Regions from separate parts of the Mus musculus genome. Here all the other regions are reported to be linked to region 1. Evidence: microRNA targets listed by miRTarBase, many of them from high-throughput screens and not tested one by one. Region 1 holds a microRNA gene; each other region holds the end of a gene's coding sequence.
What was found. The annotated mature microRNA mmu-miR-1970 reads UGUGUCACUGGGGAUAGGCUUUG and lies in region 1 at 2,965-2,987, shown strand. An mRNA with a match to its seed (bases 2 to 7 or 8) in the 3' UTR can be bound and repressed. Matches are read on the target gene's strand: a 7mer-m8 pairs with bases 2 to 8, a 7mer-A1 pairs with bases 2 to 7 and ends in A, and an 8mer does both.

Region 1 (4,166 bases):
TCAAAAAGGGGGAAATGTTGTGGGATGTTTGGTTTCATTTAATTGAGGCTGGCTTATGGTTTCCGAGGTTCAGTCCAGTATCATCATAGCTGGAAGTATGGTAGCATGCAGGTACACATGGTGCTGAAAAAGGGAGCTGAGTTCTACATGCAGATCAGCAGGGAGCAGAAAGCGCGTGACACACCGGGTGTGACTTGAGCATCAGAGACCTCAAAGCAGGCTAATAGTCACTGGGAGCCTAATAATTCCACTCCCTCTGGGCCGATGGGGGTCAAACTCATTCAAACTACCACAAGTTTTTCTCAAATAGTAGCAAGGATCATCCTTGAAAAAAAAGTCATGTCACATTACAACGATCCATTTGTCAAAACCTAATGGTTTGCGACAAGACTTTAAAAAGTACAAACTCCTTTTCACAGTGGATCTCTATCTCACATGGTTTGGCTCTTCTTTCACAGGCTACAACCAGCTCTGTTAACCGTTCCTTTGCCTCTTTCTTCTTCTTCTTCTTTTTTTTATAGTACTGGGGACTTTTCTACGTGCTAAGCAATCAGTTCTACCATTCGCTAGTCACTGATGTCTCATTTTTGCCACACCAGTTATGACACTGTTTTTAAAAATAACCCAAGAAGTTCATTTGTTCTTTCTCAGGGAGAGACTACTCTCTGCAGCATGCCTTACCTCTTCATTTCATTTCATTTCATTTTTTACTTTCTTAAAGAGAACTTCCCTGACTATCCCACCAAAAATATTATTCCTACGTTCTAACACCCACTATCCTTATATGCTATAACATTTTTCTCTGTATCAGTTATCACCATTCAATATTATATATTTATAATTCTGTTGTTTCCTCCACCCCTAAAAGTTCTATGAAGAGGGTATTTTGTTTTACTTCTATAATAGATTTCTAGGAAATAGGAACAAGGTCTGATACATAATATACTCAATTTATTGACTACTCAAAGCTTCTGACATCCTGGGTTATTTTTTGTTGTTTATGTAAATCATATTACTTTTACCATAGCGTAAAGTTTGAAAAGAGATGTTAACCTTTTAAGTTTCTTTTAAGTTTCAGAGTAAGAAACACCCTTTAAATGTTTTCAGCAAAATCATTTTGTTGGACACATTTGGAGATAGTAATAGGATCATATAGGTTGGTTTTCATAAACTATTATGTGGTGGTCTGAATAGGAATGGCCTCCATAGGCTCAGCAATTTGAAGGTGTAGTCATTAGGACGGGGAATAAGAGGTGTGGCCTTAGTTGGAGGAAATGTGGCCTTGTTGGAGGAAGTGGGCTACTGGGTGTGAGCTTTGAGGTTTTAGAAGCCCAAACCAGGCCCAATGGTACTCACTCTTCCTGCTGCCGGCAAATCTGCATATAGGACTCAGAGCTTCTTCTCCAGTACCATGTCTGCCTGCATGCTGTCATGATCCCTGCCATGACAATACTTGACTAAACCTCTGGAGCTGTAAGCAAGCCCTGAATAAATGCTTTCTTTATGAGTTGCCACGATCATGCTGTCTTGCTGTCTCTTCACAACAATCAAGCATTGAATTGACTAAGACAGGAGTTGATACCAGGGACTTGGGTACTGCTGTGACAGGCCTGGCCATGCTGCTTGTTGGTGGAATATGGACTTTGCACTAGAAAAGCAACTGAACACTTTAAGTGGGGCTTTAATGGGCCATTGTCGCAGAAGCATGGAGCACAGTGGTAGTGAGGATGATATGGAAATGTGGGGGCCTGGCTCAAGAGGTCTCAGAGGAAAAGAATAGTAGTAAGAGGACTAAAGAACATTCTTGTAATATTTTGGCAAAGAATATGGCTGCTTTCTTCCCCTGTCTGAAAAATATGCCTGAGGCTAAATTGAAGAGTTTTGAATTAATGACATTGGCAGAAGAGATTATGCAGATGAATAATGAAAACAAGCAAGGCAAAATACTAAAAAGTACAATTTGAGGAGAAGGGAGCACCGGTGCTCAAGGAAATAAAATAGTTTAAAGAAAAGCCTGGTGTTAAATGGATTTAAGTGAGTGGTGACCTCAGGATAAGGTCCCACTCTGCTGAGCTCCGACTTGGGAAAAGGTGTTAAAGAAAAACTTAAGCAGTAAAGGAAACCATCAATAATAGAAATCTGATGTAGATGTAATTGAATGAGGGGGCCAAGTTCCAGCCCCAGCAAACAGCAGAATGTGGCAGCCACAGCCATGTAGTTCTGGCTTTGGAGGTAAGGGGTTATGGAACCTCCCTCCATAGCTAGCAAAAGCTGTTGAGTTCAGGCATATGTCAGGGGTGTCCCTGCATGGAGGCCCAGAAAGGCCACTGAGTGAAGCTGTGAAAGTGAAGTCTGGATTGTGTTGGAGACCCCAAGATGTTGGAGCTGAGATGCCAGTGTCATGGGATACCTGCCAAGGAGAGCTTCTATCAGAGTGTCGACCAGTCCAAGAGGAAGAAGTGCATTCAACAAAGCAGAAAGGACTTGGAGACCTGAAGAGCGCTTTGACATTAGACATGGAGGTGCAAGCAAGCTTTCAGTCTTGCTTTGGTCCAGTATTTCCTCACTATGTTCCCTTGCCTTCCTTTTGGAATGGTAATATCTATATCCTGTGCTATTATATGTTGGAAGTATGTGATCTGCTTTTTGATTTTGATTTTATGGGGGGGGGGGTTACAGTTAAGAGATGCTATGAAGTTTTAGAAGTGACTTTGAATTTTGGACTTTTAAACAGTTTTGAGACTGTTTTAAGTTATGGGGACTTTTGAAGTTGGACCGAACGTATATTTGCATTATGATATGGCTTCAAGCATATGAGGGCCAGGGAGTGTAATGTGGTGGTTTGAATAGGAATAGCTCCCATAGGCTTATACATTTGAATGCTTGGCCATTAGGGAGTGATACTACTTGAGAAAGATTAGGAGGTATAGCCTTATTGGAGTGGATGTGCATTGTTGGAGGAAATGTGTCACTGGGGATAGGCTTTGAGGTTTCAGAAGCTCAGTCAGGCCTAGTGGCACTCACTCTTCCTGTTGCCTGCAGATCCTTCTGCATATGTGCCTGCATGTTGCCATGCTCCCTGCTAAGATGAAAATGAACTAAGCCTCTGAAAATGTAAGCAAGCCCTAATTAAATATTTCCTTTCATAAGAGTTTCCGTGGACATGCTGTCTCTTCACAGCAATGAACACTGACTGGGACATACTAGGTACTTGTTAGAGTAAATGATCATTGGAATAGCGAATAGCATTTTTCCTCATGTCAGAATCCAGAAGCAATATCCCTTTCTCAAATGATCATTTAGAGTTATTCTCCTTCATCTTCCATACATAGAAATAGCTTTTTTAAAAAACAAAACAAAACAATGAGTAGCTGTCTAGAGAAGGCATAAGATACAGTCATAAACATTATGTGAGCCACAGTTAAGGCACCTTGACAATATCAATACCTGTGAAAAAAGATGCTGGTTTTAGAAGTAAAAATATTATGAGTTACAAAACACCATTCATGTTATTCTAAAACCCAAATGAGGGAAAGCCTTATTGTCACTCTGTTATATGACAAGTAACTAAACCTTTCCATTAGGGATCATGAATCCAAGTTGTACATCACAGGACTAAAGCTCAGCTTAACTGAGCTAATAACTGCAGTAAAAAAAAATACCAAACTGCTTTAGCATAGCAATACTTTAGTAGTATCAATCCTACTTTGGAGGCATCATCAAAACAGATAGTAATTAAATTATGAACTGGCCTAGACTGGTACTTCATACTACCAAGAATCTCTAGCATCTTAGAAAAGCTGTGAATTGTGCTCCTTGCTATTCCTTAAAGGAAACTAGATAGGCATGATGACATGTATCCCCCCAGCCCCCCTTCTTGTTCTAATAGCAAGTAACACAGTAGTTGATCAGGGCATTTAAATAAAAAGAAAACCAAAGCAGACCTTTAGCAAAACACACTAGACAGATGGATATTTTAAAAAATGACACAATAAATGTAAATCATAAACCAAATACACTCAGGAAAGTATACCTATTTTATGTTACATAAAAGAAAAACTACAGATGGCATGCTTACCATAACATTTCATCTGGGCAAGTTATTGAGTGGGTTTTCTTGCAAATATGCATTGCCATGATGAAAACAATTATGTGCAAACTGCAAG
Region 2 (4,166 bases), not on the chromosome of region 1:
AGGACTAAGGTCTCCCAGGCTCCCGGGCCTGCCCTAGCCCTCATCTCCCCCACCCCCACATCCCCTTCAGCGGACCTGTACTCCGAGGAGCCTGGGGAGGAGGAACCTGCCTGGGTGCAGACAGAGCGGCAGCAGTTCCGAGAGTTCCGGGATCTGAACAAGGACGGGCGACTGGATGGCAGTGAAGTCGGTTACTGGGTGCTGCCTCCATCCCAGGACCAGCCCCTGGTGGAGGCCAACCACCTGCTGCATGAGAGCGACACGGACAAGGTGAGCCTGGGCTACTACTGCCTGCACGCAGGTGGGTCCGGAAACAGAGAGAGAAACGGAAAGAGACCTAGAGACAGATCCGGAGAAACAGATGGGGGCCGAGGCCTAGAGGAGAGAAGCCAGGCAGAGGAGGGGCCCTAGGGACAGCCTGGTGGGGATGTCCCCCGTGGGCCCTGCCTCCTGCTGACCACTCTGCCCACAGGATGGCCGGCTGAGCAAAGCTGAGATCTTGAGCAACTGGAACATGTTTGTGGGCAGCCAGGCCACCAACTACGGTGAGGACCTGACAAGGCACCATGATGAGCTCTGATCCCCATGTCTCTCAGACTTCCGACCACATGACCACATGGGGGACAACCGCGGGGCCACTGCAGCCAGCCCCGCCCCCAGGACACAGACTCAGCTCTGGTGTTCCTGGTTCTTGGGCCCTCAGTCACCTTCTCTCCCTGAGACCCCTGTCACCAACCCTGGGACCCCCCAACCTGCCCAGGATACTCAGGCACTCAAAGATAAGTGACACCCACTGATAGCATCCCAGCACTGACGCGGGGCCACATCCTGACCTAACCGCAATTTGAACTCTGAATGTCAACAGCACAAGCTAACCTGTCCTGCCTAGGAGCAATAAAAGCTGTTGCTGGGGTCCCCTGCTCTGTCTGTCTGTCTGTCTGTCTATCTGTGGGTGGGGGGAAGGATACTGTGAGGAGATGGAGGAGCATGCTGGCGCTGAGTGCGGAGGGCCTCAAGAGGGCGTAGTCCAGCGGTGATGTCCCCTCCACAGGGTCACATACATTACGATTCATAACAGCAAAATCACCGTTAGGCAATAGCAACAAAAATGATTTTATGGTTGGTGGAGATCCGTCAAAACAAGAGGAACTGTGTTAAAGGTTGAGGAGCACTGCTCTCGGGCATCTGGGCATGCGAGATGGGTGTTAGTGGACGTTTGAGGGCGTTCCCAGAGGCCGAGAATAAAGCCAGCAGCCTGGGGGCCGCAGGAAAGCCAGGCAGGAAATGCAGCCCGCCCCTAAGTGCTCCAGGGTGGGGAAGCACAAAACCACAGCTGGAGAAACAACCACAGCTCTCAGTGAAACACCCCGCGGTGAGGGTTCTGAAAATGGAATAGCCAGGAATGAGGAGGGAAAGCGCCTCTGTGTCAGCTGCATTGAGCCACACGGAGAGTGATATACACCCGTAATACAGCAACGCGAGGGCAGAGTCTAGCGCAGGAGGACGTCCGGGTGTTCATGTCTGGCCTGTTTGGTTTTGTTTGTTTGTTTAAAAAAAAAGGTTGGAGGGAAAAGGGGGGAAATAAAATGTAATTATATTTTAATTTAAAAGCGGAAGGGGTGCAAAAAAATAAAAAAGCCAGGCGATGGCACACACTTTTAGTCCTAACATTTGGGAGACAGAGACAGACAGATCTCTGAATTTGAGGCCAGCCTAGTCTACAAAGCCAGTTCTAGGATAGCCAGGACTGTCACACAGAGAAACTGTGTCATGAAAAACAATCAACCGGGCAGCGGTTGTGCACGCCTTTAATCCCAGCATTTAGGAGGCAGAGGCAGGCAGATTTCTGAGTTCAAGGCCAGCCTGGTCTACAGAGTGAGTTCCAGGACAGCCAGGACTGCACAGAGAAAACCCTGTCTCGGGAAAAAAAATAAAAGAAAAAAAGAAAGGAATTGGAAGGGAGAGAGAGAGAGAGAGAGCAAGCTTAGCGGTTAAGAGCACTGACTGCTCTTCCAAAGGTCCTGAGTTCAAACCCCAGCAACCACATGGTGGCTCACAACCATCCTAACAAGACCTGACGCCCTCTTCTGGTGTGTCTGAAGACAGCTACAGTGTACTTACATATAATAAATAAATCTAAAAAAAAAAAAGAAAAAGAAAAAGTCATAAAAAAAGAGAGAAAGAAAGAAAAGTGTATGTGCATGTGTGTGCATGCATGTGTATGCATGTGCATGCGTGTGTATGTGTGTGTGTGTCCTGCAGATGGATCCTAGTGTTGGGACCCCAGCACCCATGCCAGGCAGTTCACGTGTGCCTGGGACTCCATCCCAGAGCAATCTCATGAATTTTCTGGCCTCTCAGGGCACTCGTTTACACACTCACACAAATAAAATAAGCAGTGGGGTGTGGGTGCTGGCTGCATAGCTCAGCAAGTGTCCTGGGGATTAAACACTGTGAGAAAAAGGAACCTGAGGAAAAAAAGGCTTATTTCAGACCACTGCTCATCATTCCGGGAAGTTGGGGCGGGAGCTGATGCAGAAGCCTTGGAGGATACTGGCTGACTGGCTTGTGCCCCAGGCCTTGCTCAGCCTGCTTTCTTACAGCACCCAGAAGAACCTGGTCAGGGTGGCCCCGCCCATAATGGGCTGACCCTTCCTACACCAATCATCATTCAGGAAAAACTCCACAGACTTGTCTACATGCCAACGTTATGGAGGCCTTTTCTCAACTAAAATCTTTCTGCCTGGGGCTGGAGAGATGGCTCAGCAGTTAAAAGCACCGACTGCTCTTCTAGAGGTCCTGAGTTCCCAGCAACACATGGTGGCTCACAACCATCTGTAATGGGATCTGATGCCCTCTTCTGGGATGCAGGCATGCATGCAGGCAGAACATTGTATACGTGATAAACAAATCTAAAAAAAGGATTCTTCCTTCCTGGGGCTGGAGAGATGGCTCAGGGGTTAAGGGCATTAGCTGTTCTTCCAAAGGCTCTGCACCCAGACAGCAGCTCATAACGGTCTATGCAACTTTATTTCCAGGGGATCACACAGACACACACACACACACACACTCAGACAACACAACCAATGTATATAATAAACGAACAAGCAAATAAAAGACTCTTCCTAAATAAACAAATAATAAAAGGTTCTTTCTTCCCAGACGACCCAGCACATGGGTAAAGGTGTTTACTAGTAAGCCTGATTGCCTGGAAGATTGGACACAGAACTTTTTTTTTTGTTGTTTTTTTTTTTTTTTTGAGACCGGTCTGTGCAGCCTTGGCTAACGTGGAAGTCATTTTGTACATCAGGCTGGCCTCGAACTCAGACATCAATCTTCTCCTGACTCTTGAGTGCTGAGATTAAAGGTGTGCACCACCATGCCCAGTTGGAACCCCAGAATTTTTTTGTTTTGTTTTGTTTTTTCTAGACAGGGTTTCTCTGTGTAGCCCTGGCTGTCCTGGAACTCACTCTGAAGACCAGGCTGGCCTCGAACTCAGAAATCCCCTGCCTCTGTCTCCCAAGTGCTGGGATTAAAGGCGTAACCAACCACGCCCGGCTACCCCAGAATTTTTTAATGAGGTCCATGCCAGGCCAGTGCCTTCCTAAACATTCCAGACTGCATAACATCTACAGTGCTCATCTTCAGAAAAAGTGGTGACATCGCAAGGGCTTTGACATACAGCTCAGAAGAAGAGACTTCAAAGTCCCCAAGTGCCGGTGGAAATGTCATCCAATTTAGCCCAGTCTGTGTATTCCGGAGCAGACACAATTACTTACCAAGGCATGGAATGGCGCGCGTGCCCTCTGCTGGCGAGTTCTGGGACTACCGGCTGGGAAATCACTGGCTCTTACAGGGGCTTGCGTGATGCTTCCCTGGGGGGTTCAGTATCTCAAGGCAGTTTATCTTGTTTGTTTGTTTGGGGTTTTTTTTGAGACAGGGTTTCTCTGTATATTCCTGTAGACCAGGCTGGCCTCGAACTCAGAAATCCATCTGCCTCTGCCTCGTGAGTGCTGGGATTAAAGGCGTGCACCACCACACCCCGCATCTTGTTTATTTTTATTGAATTTTTTTTGTGTGTGTGCGGGTCAGACGATGTGTTGTGATGGTGTTTTCTTCCCACCATGTGGATTTTAAGGATTTAGGAGTTTTATTCTTGTCAACTT
Region 3 (4,166 bases), not on the chromosome of region 1:
CCCCTTGGAGGCCCCAAGTGTGCCTGGCTGAGCCCAGAGTGGTTGAGTTGGCTCTCCAGGCTTCTCTGTAGGATGGGACCCATCTGAGAGAACTACCTGATAAGGAGCTAGTAGGCACAGGCCTGTCCTGCCCTGACTGACTGTGCTGCATTCCCCAGCTGGGCAAGTTCTGGATTCACACTTTGTGGGGACTCTGAGCTGACTTAATGCCTTTCCCTCTGGGGCTCTGGGGCTCTGGGGCTCTGGATCCAGGTTTCCAGAGTCCGCTGTGAAGGTTCTTGCATCAGGGTGTCTACAGAACCTGCTGTTCAAGTCGCTGCAGATGGACCAGGTGTTCTGGGAGAGCCAAGGTGGAGCTGCAGGTCTGAAGCATGTCCTTGAGACTCTGGAGAGTCGGGGACAGATCCTGCTGAGACACATTAAGAAGCACAACCTCACACTGTTCAGGGACAAGGACCCGTGAGCCCAAGGCTGCCTGGGCCGAGCACACCTTGCTGGAGAACTTCACACAATGTAAACCTCAGCTGGTGCGCGTCCCTCTCAATGACAGCATTTCTGTGACAGTAGTTGGTCATCCTGATGACAAATGGGGAGAGCCAAGGCTGGAGGATCCTACCTCACCGTGGGACAGGTCACCTGCTGAAGATGATGGAGGGCCTGCCGTCTCCATGCTCTGGCAGTTTACTCTCACGCACCAATAAATATGTTCAAGAATGTTCATGAACTGTTCCCTGCACATGCGCATGCAGTGCTGTGTGCATGTGTGCAGAGATATGTAGGTATGTGCCTGAACAACATCATGCATCCTAGGCAAGCACTCTACCAGCTGAACTACATACCAGAGAAGTCTAGTTTTTAAGATTCATTATTTTAATTTCAAAATTTATATTTATGTGCATGGGTGTTTTCTCTGACACACACACACACACACACACACACACACACACATTTTGTACCATGTGTGTACCTAGTGTCTGCAGAAGCCAGAGGAGGGTGTCAAACCTCAGGGACTTGAGTTACAGATAATTGTGAGCTACCATGTGGGTTCTAAGAATTGAACCTGGATCCTCTGGAAGAGCAGGCAGTGCTCTTAACCACTGAGCCATTTCTCCAGGCACTAATTTTATTTTTATTTATGTTTATGTCTGTGAGTATATACCACGTGTGTGAAGGTGACTATGGAAGCCAGAAGAGGACAGCAGATTCATTGGAACTGGAGTTACTGGAGTGGTTGTGTGCCACCGCGTACAGATGCTGAGATGAACTCTTTGTAGACCCTTCTGAGAGCAACAGATGCCCTAAACCATTGAGCCATCCCTCCAGCAGGGAGAAGACTATTATAAAACCCAAGTCCCCTTCATTACATAGATGTTATCTTCACTTTCATGCTAGCCATTGTGTGTTTTAGGCTGACTGTTCTGTTTGTGCACAAGAGAGCTTTGAATCTGAGCTGCACTCAGCCCTGGCTGTTAGACTTGCCCATGGTTCCCCTCAGTCTCCCACTTGGGACTTGACCTGTTTGTCTTTTGTGAAATAGGAAGCCGTAATTCTGTGCAGCCCAGTTTGTTCATGTTAGCCTGCGAGCCTCTCAGAACGGCTCTGCTCCTCCGGTCATTGAAATGTCATTTATTTACCTCTTTTACATGACTGCTCATTTGTATGAACCCCATCTGAGAGATCACTTTGGTTTCACTGCCCCAGATTCCATTCAAGAGTCTATTCTGTTCCCATCTGAAAGTATACTTTTATCAGATAAAAACCAAGCACACACAGGCCCTTTTGTGAGCTGTGCTGGGCTGCACTCACAGGGTTTCTTAAGAGCCTGCTTCAAAACTGGGCACTGTTCTAATCCAAGTTACTGTATTCTGCTCGGTGGTGTAAGGATCCACTTAAACATCTCTTTTTTGTATACGAGTGTTTTGTCTGCATGCACATTTGTGCACTGTACACGCACAGTGCCCACAGAAGACAGCAGAGGTAACCGAGGCCTCTGGAACTGGAGTTACAATGGTCGTGAGCTGCCTCATGAGTGCCAGCAACTGAAGTTTGCTTCTCCGCATCGCTGCTGAGTTCTCTCTTTAAGCCCTCTAGATAAATATTTATATGCCTCTTACTAGTCTTTCAGTAGAAAACCAAATTTTCAGTTTTATGTTTTAATTTCTCCTTATATATACTGTTTTAGGGCTTTGGTTGGGTCTTGTTTTGTTGTTTGAGATTAAAAAAGGCTCAGCCACATCTCACTCCTGACTTTAATGAGAGCGCATCTATGGTTTCACTATGATCAGGGAGAACACTCCGCCAGGCACTACCCAGGACAAACATGGGTATTATGGATATCCCCAAAGGACGCTCTCCTCTTCACCGCCTGCGTGATGTACCTGGCACATCAAAGGAGCTCTACCCAGCATTCTCCCTTCACGGTCCTGACACTAGCCTACCATGTCATCTCCTTGACAACCAAAATTAAAAGTACTGACTGTCAACTCTGCTTCTTGCTATCCAATAAGATGTGCCCAACGACACTCTCTGAGCTGTAGCTTAAGTTGGCTCCTTAGACCACTCCCAAATACAGGCAATCACCTGTTGCCCACCAGAATATGATGATGAAACCCTTCTGCTGAAAACACCAAACACCTGTCGCAGGACACAGAGAAATCGAGATGGAAACGGAACTTCCCCCCTGCTCGCCAGCCCTCACAGTATAAAGTGTTGTGCGGGCTGCTGGCCGGGGGCATATCAGCCACCTTTTGTGGCTGCAGATAGTAGCCAACAGCTAGGCAAGATGGGCCCACTGATGCTACAGGGACAGGTCTGTTATGGGGAAACCAACTGCCTCCTGGTTGGATTTGAGAACCATTCCACGGGAGGGAATTCAGGTTTGACGCTGGAACCTGTTAAAAGCCTGTGGGTGGGGAGGGCATGGGCTCTCTCTCACAGGGAAGCTACTGCCACTGTGCTTCATGGATAGGACACACCTACAAAATTATCTTCTAAAAAATTTCATGCCTACAGACCAGTGCTGCCGCCCGCTCTGTCAAGTTTGCCGTGCCAGCAGTCCCTGGAGACTCATAACTGGTTACGGTGCTGAGAGTAACTACCAAGTGTTCATCCATGGGCAGCTATGTCAGCCTCGCCCAGGCTCGAGGAATATCTGGAAGGGGCAAGAAGAATGGGTGGCTGGGGAGTGGAACACAGACTTCTGGGTCTGACTAGGCTGCTGCACTCTTGAACTCACAGCAGCTGTGATGACCAACCATGATCTGGCCTATCTCTACCTCGTCATGGAAATGGGAGGAGCTAATAGGGCCGCACGGCTCCCTGAGGATTTATAGGTCAGTGTCTGAAAGGAGACATTTTTTTTAGTTGTGTAGTCAACGGTGTTGCCCTTGCAGACAAAACCTCACCCATGTGCTTGTCAGCGACCCTAAGAAACTTGTTGACTCATAAATAAAGACACGAAGGGACTTGAAAATAAGAGGGGTGGGTTGGAAAGAGGAAAAGCTCGGTGGGAGGGGGCAGGAAAGGCTAATGAGGTGAACAGTATTGAAGTGCATTATAAACATGCCCTAAAACATTGCATAAAACCTATTACGAGGTATAATTCGTGCATGCTAACAAGGCATCAGAAAAAGACTTGGGCAAGATGTTCATAATCATTTAATGACTGCTCCAAACACACCTGTCACTCAGCTACAGATGAAATTCAAAGATTATCTGCCTAGCCCACCAACCACGTGACCACTGTTTCTCGAGGCCAGGACCTACACCAAGGCCAAAGCAGGAAACAGCATGGTTATTAGCAAGAGCAGATCCCCGGGCCCTGGCAGGCACCACCTCTTCAGAGCTAGAGAAATCTGCAAAAAGCACACTCGGGAAGCAGGCTTAGTGCAAGCCTACTCAATAAATAGATAATTTATCACCACAGCTGCTAGCAGAACTGTGGACCTGGGAAAGCTGAGCTGCGAGAGGTGCCCTCCAGAGGCCTGGCCATGGTCTGCTGGCTACGTGCTGCACACCAGCACATCTGCAAAAGGTCCCAGGAGGCTCCTGTTAAATATACAGCGGACCCACACCAGGTAGGTGGTAAAAGGTTTGATGTTCTCTGTGAAGGTGTGGTTCTGCAGGGTCAGCATGTAAGGCACATACGTGTTCTCCCCTTGCTCCTG
Region 4 (4,166 bases), not on the chromosome of region 1:
TAATTTACAATGCCCAGTGTTTCAGGTAACATTCCATTGCCTTTTAAAATAAAATCTTAGGATGAGTTAAAAAGCAACAGTATGGTAAACTACGAGACAGACTTGTTCATCCAGTATTTTCAAATGAGACTGTCCAAATACGTCAGCATCTTCTTTAGAGTAAGACTGTATAGCACCCAAGAGTACTGTTAGTGTGCGTCAGCCAACAGGTAGTAGAAAGCGTGAGTGACTGTGAAGAAGCACGCAGAGCACGTTCTGTTCTTTGTCATGGATCTGATAAGCGTGCCCTTGTCTTTTTCAGTGATGTGATGAGTTTAGGGATCACACTGGTTGGCCATCAAAAGAAGATCATGAGCAGCATCCAGACTATGCGGGCACAAATGTTGCATTTACACGGAACAGGCATCCAAGTGTGACACATCGGCCTCCCTCAGATGAGGCTTAAGACTGCAGGAGAACAGTTCTGGCCTTCAGTATACGCATAGAATGCTGCTAGAAGACAGTTGATATACTGGGTCCTTCCTACAAGAAAGAGAAGATTTTAGAAGCACCTCCAGACTTGAACTCCTAAGTGCCACCAGAATATACAAAAAGGGAATTTAGGATCCACCACTGGTGGCCAGGAACACAGCAGAGACAATAAACAAAGTACTACCTGAAAAACATCCCAACACCTTGAGCTCTCGAACCTCCTTTTTATCTTATAGACTTTTTAAAAATGTACATAAAGAATTTAAGAAAGAATATATTTGTCAAATAAAAATCATGATCTTATTGTTAAAATCAATGAAATATTTTCCTTAAAATATGTGATTTCAGACTATTCTTTTCCAGAACCATCTGTGTTTATTCTGCTTAAGGACTTTGTTTTAGAAAGTTATTTGTAGCTTTGGACCTTTTTAGTGTTAAATTTATGACACGTTACTACACTGGGTACCTTTGAAGACTCTCAAACTTAAAGGAAAGCAAAACTACGCACATAGTCGAGGATGGGACTTTGTCCTTCATGGCTTTGGTATCCTGGCTGTGTCATTTTGTTAAACCAGTGATGTTTTCATATTGTTTGCTGATTGGCAGGTAGTTCAAAATTGCAAGTTGCCAAGAGCTCTGATATTTTTTAACAGGATTTTTTTTTCTTTGTAAAAATCAGACAACATACTAACTTTTCAATGAAAAAAAAAAAAAAAAAGAAAGCAATAATGATCCATAAATACTATAAGGCACTTTTAACAGATTGTTTATAGAGTGATTTACTAGGCAGAATTTAATAAAAAAAAAAGAGAGATGTCAAATTTTAGGTTTATGTGTATATGATAAAAGGCTGAGCTTCGTCTGAAGATGCTGGTGAAAGCAAGACTGGAAGCGAAGCTCTCCAGCTTTGGCTAACCCAATCCGAGCACATCAAGAGCTTCAGTCTTGTGACAGTAAGAAATTTAGGAACATAGTTGACCTATATTTTGTATTCTTTCTTGTTGAATGCAGTCCAAATACAAAAGTAAGGAATTCAGTTTTCTATTGTTACTCTGAAGCAAGATCACAGGGGCCATTCTCTTCTCACCACTCACAGACAAACTAGCCGCAAATATTTCCACCAATGCAGTGAGAAGAAAGCAACACAGAGGTATTTTATCTATGAACAGTGACACACACACACACACACACACACACACACACACACACACAAACCCTTTTAGGTCAAAACTCTTTTACCCCAGAAGGAAGAAGTAAAGGGTCTGGCTTTTCTGTTTCCACTTTATTTATCAGACCATATTATTTGGTTACTGTGTTTGAATTTCATAAGCAATAATTAAATGTGTCTTTATAGCTATTTCAGGAATGTATACATATTTGAGTAATGTTTTCAAAAGTTACAAAAATCATGAACTACCCCAAAACTGAACTGTTGTACTTCCAAAGAAAATTGGGCTGTTTATAATGATTTTACTAGAGAAAGATCCCAGGGATCGGTCCTAATTGGTGTTGTTTGGTCATGTGGACATCCACAAACAATCAAACAAACAAACAAACAAACAAGAACAGGTAACAAGCAAAATCTGTAAATGTTCCTTTGTAAAACTTGTAAATTTTATTTATACCGTCTTGTTTTGTATACACATTTCTCAGTCGTGGCTCCGAGGACATGAAAATGCTCTATATTTTTCTATTTTACTTGCAGAGCTTCACAAAGAAACAGGTATTTTCAGTGCTACTTATTGTGTTTTCCCACATTTAGGACCAAAGATGGCTATAGAAAACTCAAATGGATTGCGTCCCAAGCCCCGCCCTATCCTTCTTTTTCCTTTTTATCACTGTACAGTGTTATTTGATATTTTAATTTATTTTTTGATTGAGTAGAAAACTCATTTTAATTTCTCTAAAATGTTTTTTGTCCCTTAGGAAAAAAAATAATCTGTAAAAATAGTTTTAATTAGCATAATCCAGTCACCCTAGACACTTCCATTTGTAATCTTTGTAATAGACTGTAAATATATTTTTGGAACTATAACACAATGTGCTTGAGGGTTATTTTTCAGTGTCTGCAGTGTATACAAAAGTGTTTAACCTCAGTATAGCACTTTACAATTCTAATCAGTAGCGTTGGCCTTTGTGCGAATGAGTGCGAGCTTGAGCGAGTGTTCTCTAATTCCGTTTGGATTCCGGACTCACTAATAATGAAGTTCTTTTCTTGTTCATAGCTTAAGGTGCTTATTTTTTCTATTAAAAATTAAATTAACAAAAAAGCCATTCTAGAAATAGAAGACGCAGTATGGTACATGCAGACAGAGTCTTTCCTGCTTTTTCTAGTAATAGATTTATAGTTGAGTAGTCTTTCTTGAGTAGAAGGGCAGAATAAAAGTGGTTTTTTTGGGTTTTCTTTTCAAGAAATAACTTTTTCCTTCAGCAATATACCTCATCTGCCTTAAATTTTTTACAGCTCTTTACAGGGAAAGGGGAGACGGGATGGAAAAGACACAGCACAATAAGAAGTGGATGATTGCATCGTGCTCTCGTTTGTAGGTCTCTTTTCCTAATCAACACTATGATTTTGAAGTACGCGTACACGAAGCAAACGGGAAGAGATAAGGAATTAGCATTGTGAACCTGACTGTAATCCTCTCTTCCGGAAAGAGATGAGATGCTATTGCGATGAGAATGTACAACTTGCACCTTGAAATCTTTTTTGATAATTAGTGCTCAGGGGAGGGGGGGGGAAGTAGAGAAAGCAAACGCCCAACAGAGAATTCCAAAAGTATAGAACACGCAACAGGAAATGGCCTCCTTGCTTTAATACAGCCGCCTTTTATAGAACACCGCCCACCCAAACCACCTGGTTTGCGTTCAGTACTGAGATACATTCAAGTAACTTCTTACATTGGGAGCTAATATTTTCTCAGCAGTGGATCAGGGCCCTGTTTACTAGACTGGTGGCTGGCTCATGCTTCTCAGAGCACTGTTAGTAGAATCATATTGTATACTTATGTAATCTACATTAGCTAGCACTCTTTAGGACTCTATTTTAATTGCTCCTCTTCTTGGTGTTTTTAAGACAATGGAAAGGGTGTAAGTCACCTCTCTTTTATTTAGGTAATGCTGATCCCTTCCCTTTTGTTTCCTGAGCAGCCCAGAACTGTACTGCTCTCCAATGTGCATGTTCCAACGAATAACTGATGTGTATTTTTTTGCTATATGTGGAGAAATCATGGGGAACTTGGGGCGAAATATGCTTTTTGTTGGTTGAATTTTGTCCCTCCTTGCCTAAGAAATACTACAGGGGTCATCCTTTTATAAGGACAAAAAAAAAAATGCTTTTGAACAGTGTCTTCAATGTATCAAGCACAAATAACTCTTTCTTCAACACGAATCATAAGTCTCTTTTTACCAGCTTAAAATAATAAACGAGTCTATTAGACAATGTAAAGAAAATCCTGTCTCCAGTCATTGGTGGGTTCCTTCACATTCCTTATGCTTTCCTTTCCTAGCTAATCAGATTTTGAGAAAATAGTTGAGTGGGCTGATCAGAATATGAATAAACTGATTATCCTTACTCCCCCACATGGATACTGACCTAATTTCACTCTAATCATTTATTATGGGATAACAAGACTGTTTACAAAGGGCCAGATTGTTGAACATTTGAGTTAAAACCTGGTTTTGTTTGTTCCTGA

Region 2: miRTarBase lists Rcn3 as a target of mmu-miR-1970. Seed matches in the 3' UTR shown: 7mer-m8 at 784-790.
Region 3: the mRNA of Gask1a is a reported target of mmu-miR-1970. Seed matches in the 3' UTR shown: 7mer-A1 at 912-918.
Region 4: miRTarBase lists Epha7 as a target of mmu-miR-1970. Seed matches in the 3' UTR shown: 8mer at 1,640-1,647.

What each region holds. Positions count from the first base shown.
Region 1 is chrX:135,784,995-135,789,160 of GRCm38, reverse strand. Mir1970 (microRNA 1970) reads left to right here and starts at 2,944; the gene lies at 2,944-3,047. The region is part of intron 4 of Gprasp1 (G protein-coupled receptor associated sorting protein 1); the gene reads right to left.
Region 2 is chr7:45,079,670-45,083,835 of GRCm38, reverse strand. Rcn3 (reticulocalbin 3, EF-hand calcium binding domain) reads left to right here. Exons shown (of 7, transcript NM_026555.2): 6 at 71-270; 7 at 473-922. The coding sequence ends at 580. Among named protein-coding and RNA genes, the nearest start is that of Rcn3, 10 kb to the left of the region's middle.
Region 3 is chr9:121,977,970-121,982,135 of GRCm38, forward strand. Gask1a (golgi associated kinase 1A) reads left to right here. Exons shown (of 5, transcript NM_177743.5): 5 at 253-2,239. The coding sequence ends at 463. Pomgnt2 (protein O-linked mannose beta 1,4-N-acetylglucosaminyltransferase 2) reads right to left here. Exons shown (of 2, transcript NM_153540.4): 2 at 3,637-4,166. The coding sequence ends at 4,002. Among named protein-coding and RNA genes, the nearest start is that of Gm39463, 16 kb to the right of the region's middle.
Region 4 is chr4:28,963,588-28,967,753 of GRCm38, forward strand. Epha7 (Eph receptor A7) reads left to right here. Exons shown (of 17, transcript NM_010141.4): 17 at 302-3,916. The coding sequence ends at 416. Among named protein-coding and RNA genes, the nearest start is that of Gm11917, 100 kb to the right of the region's middle.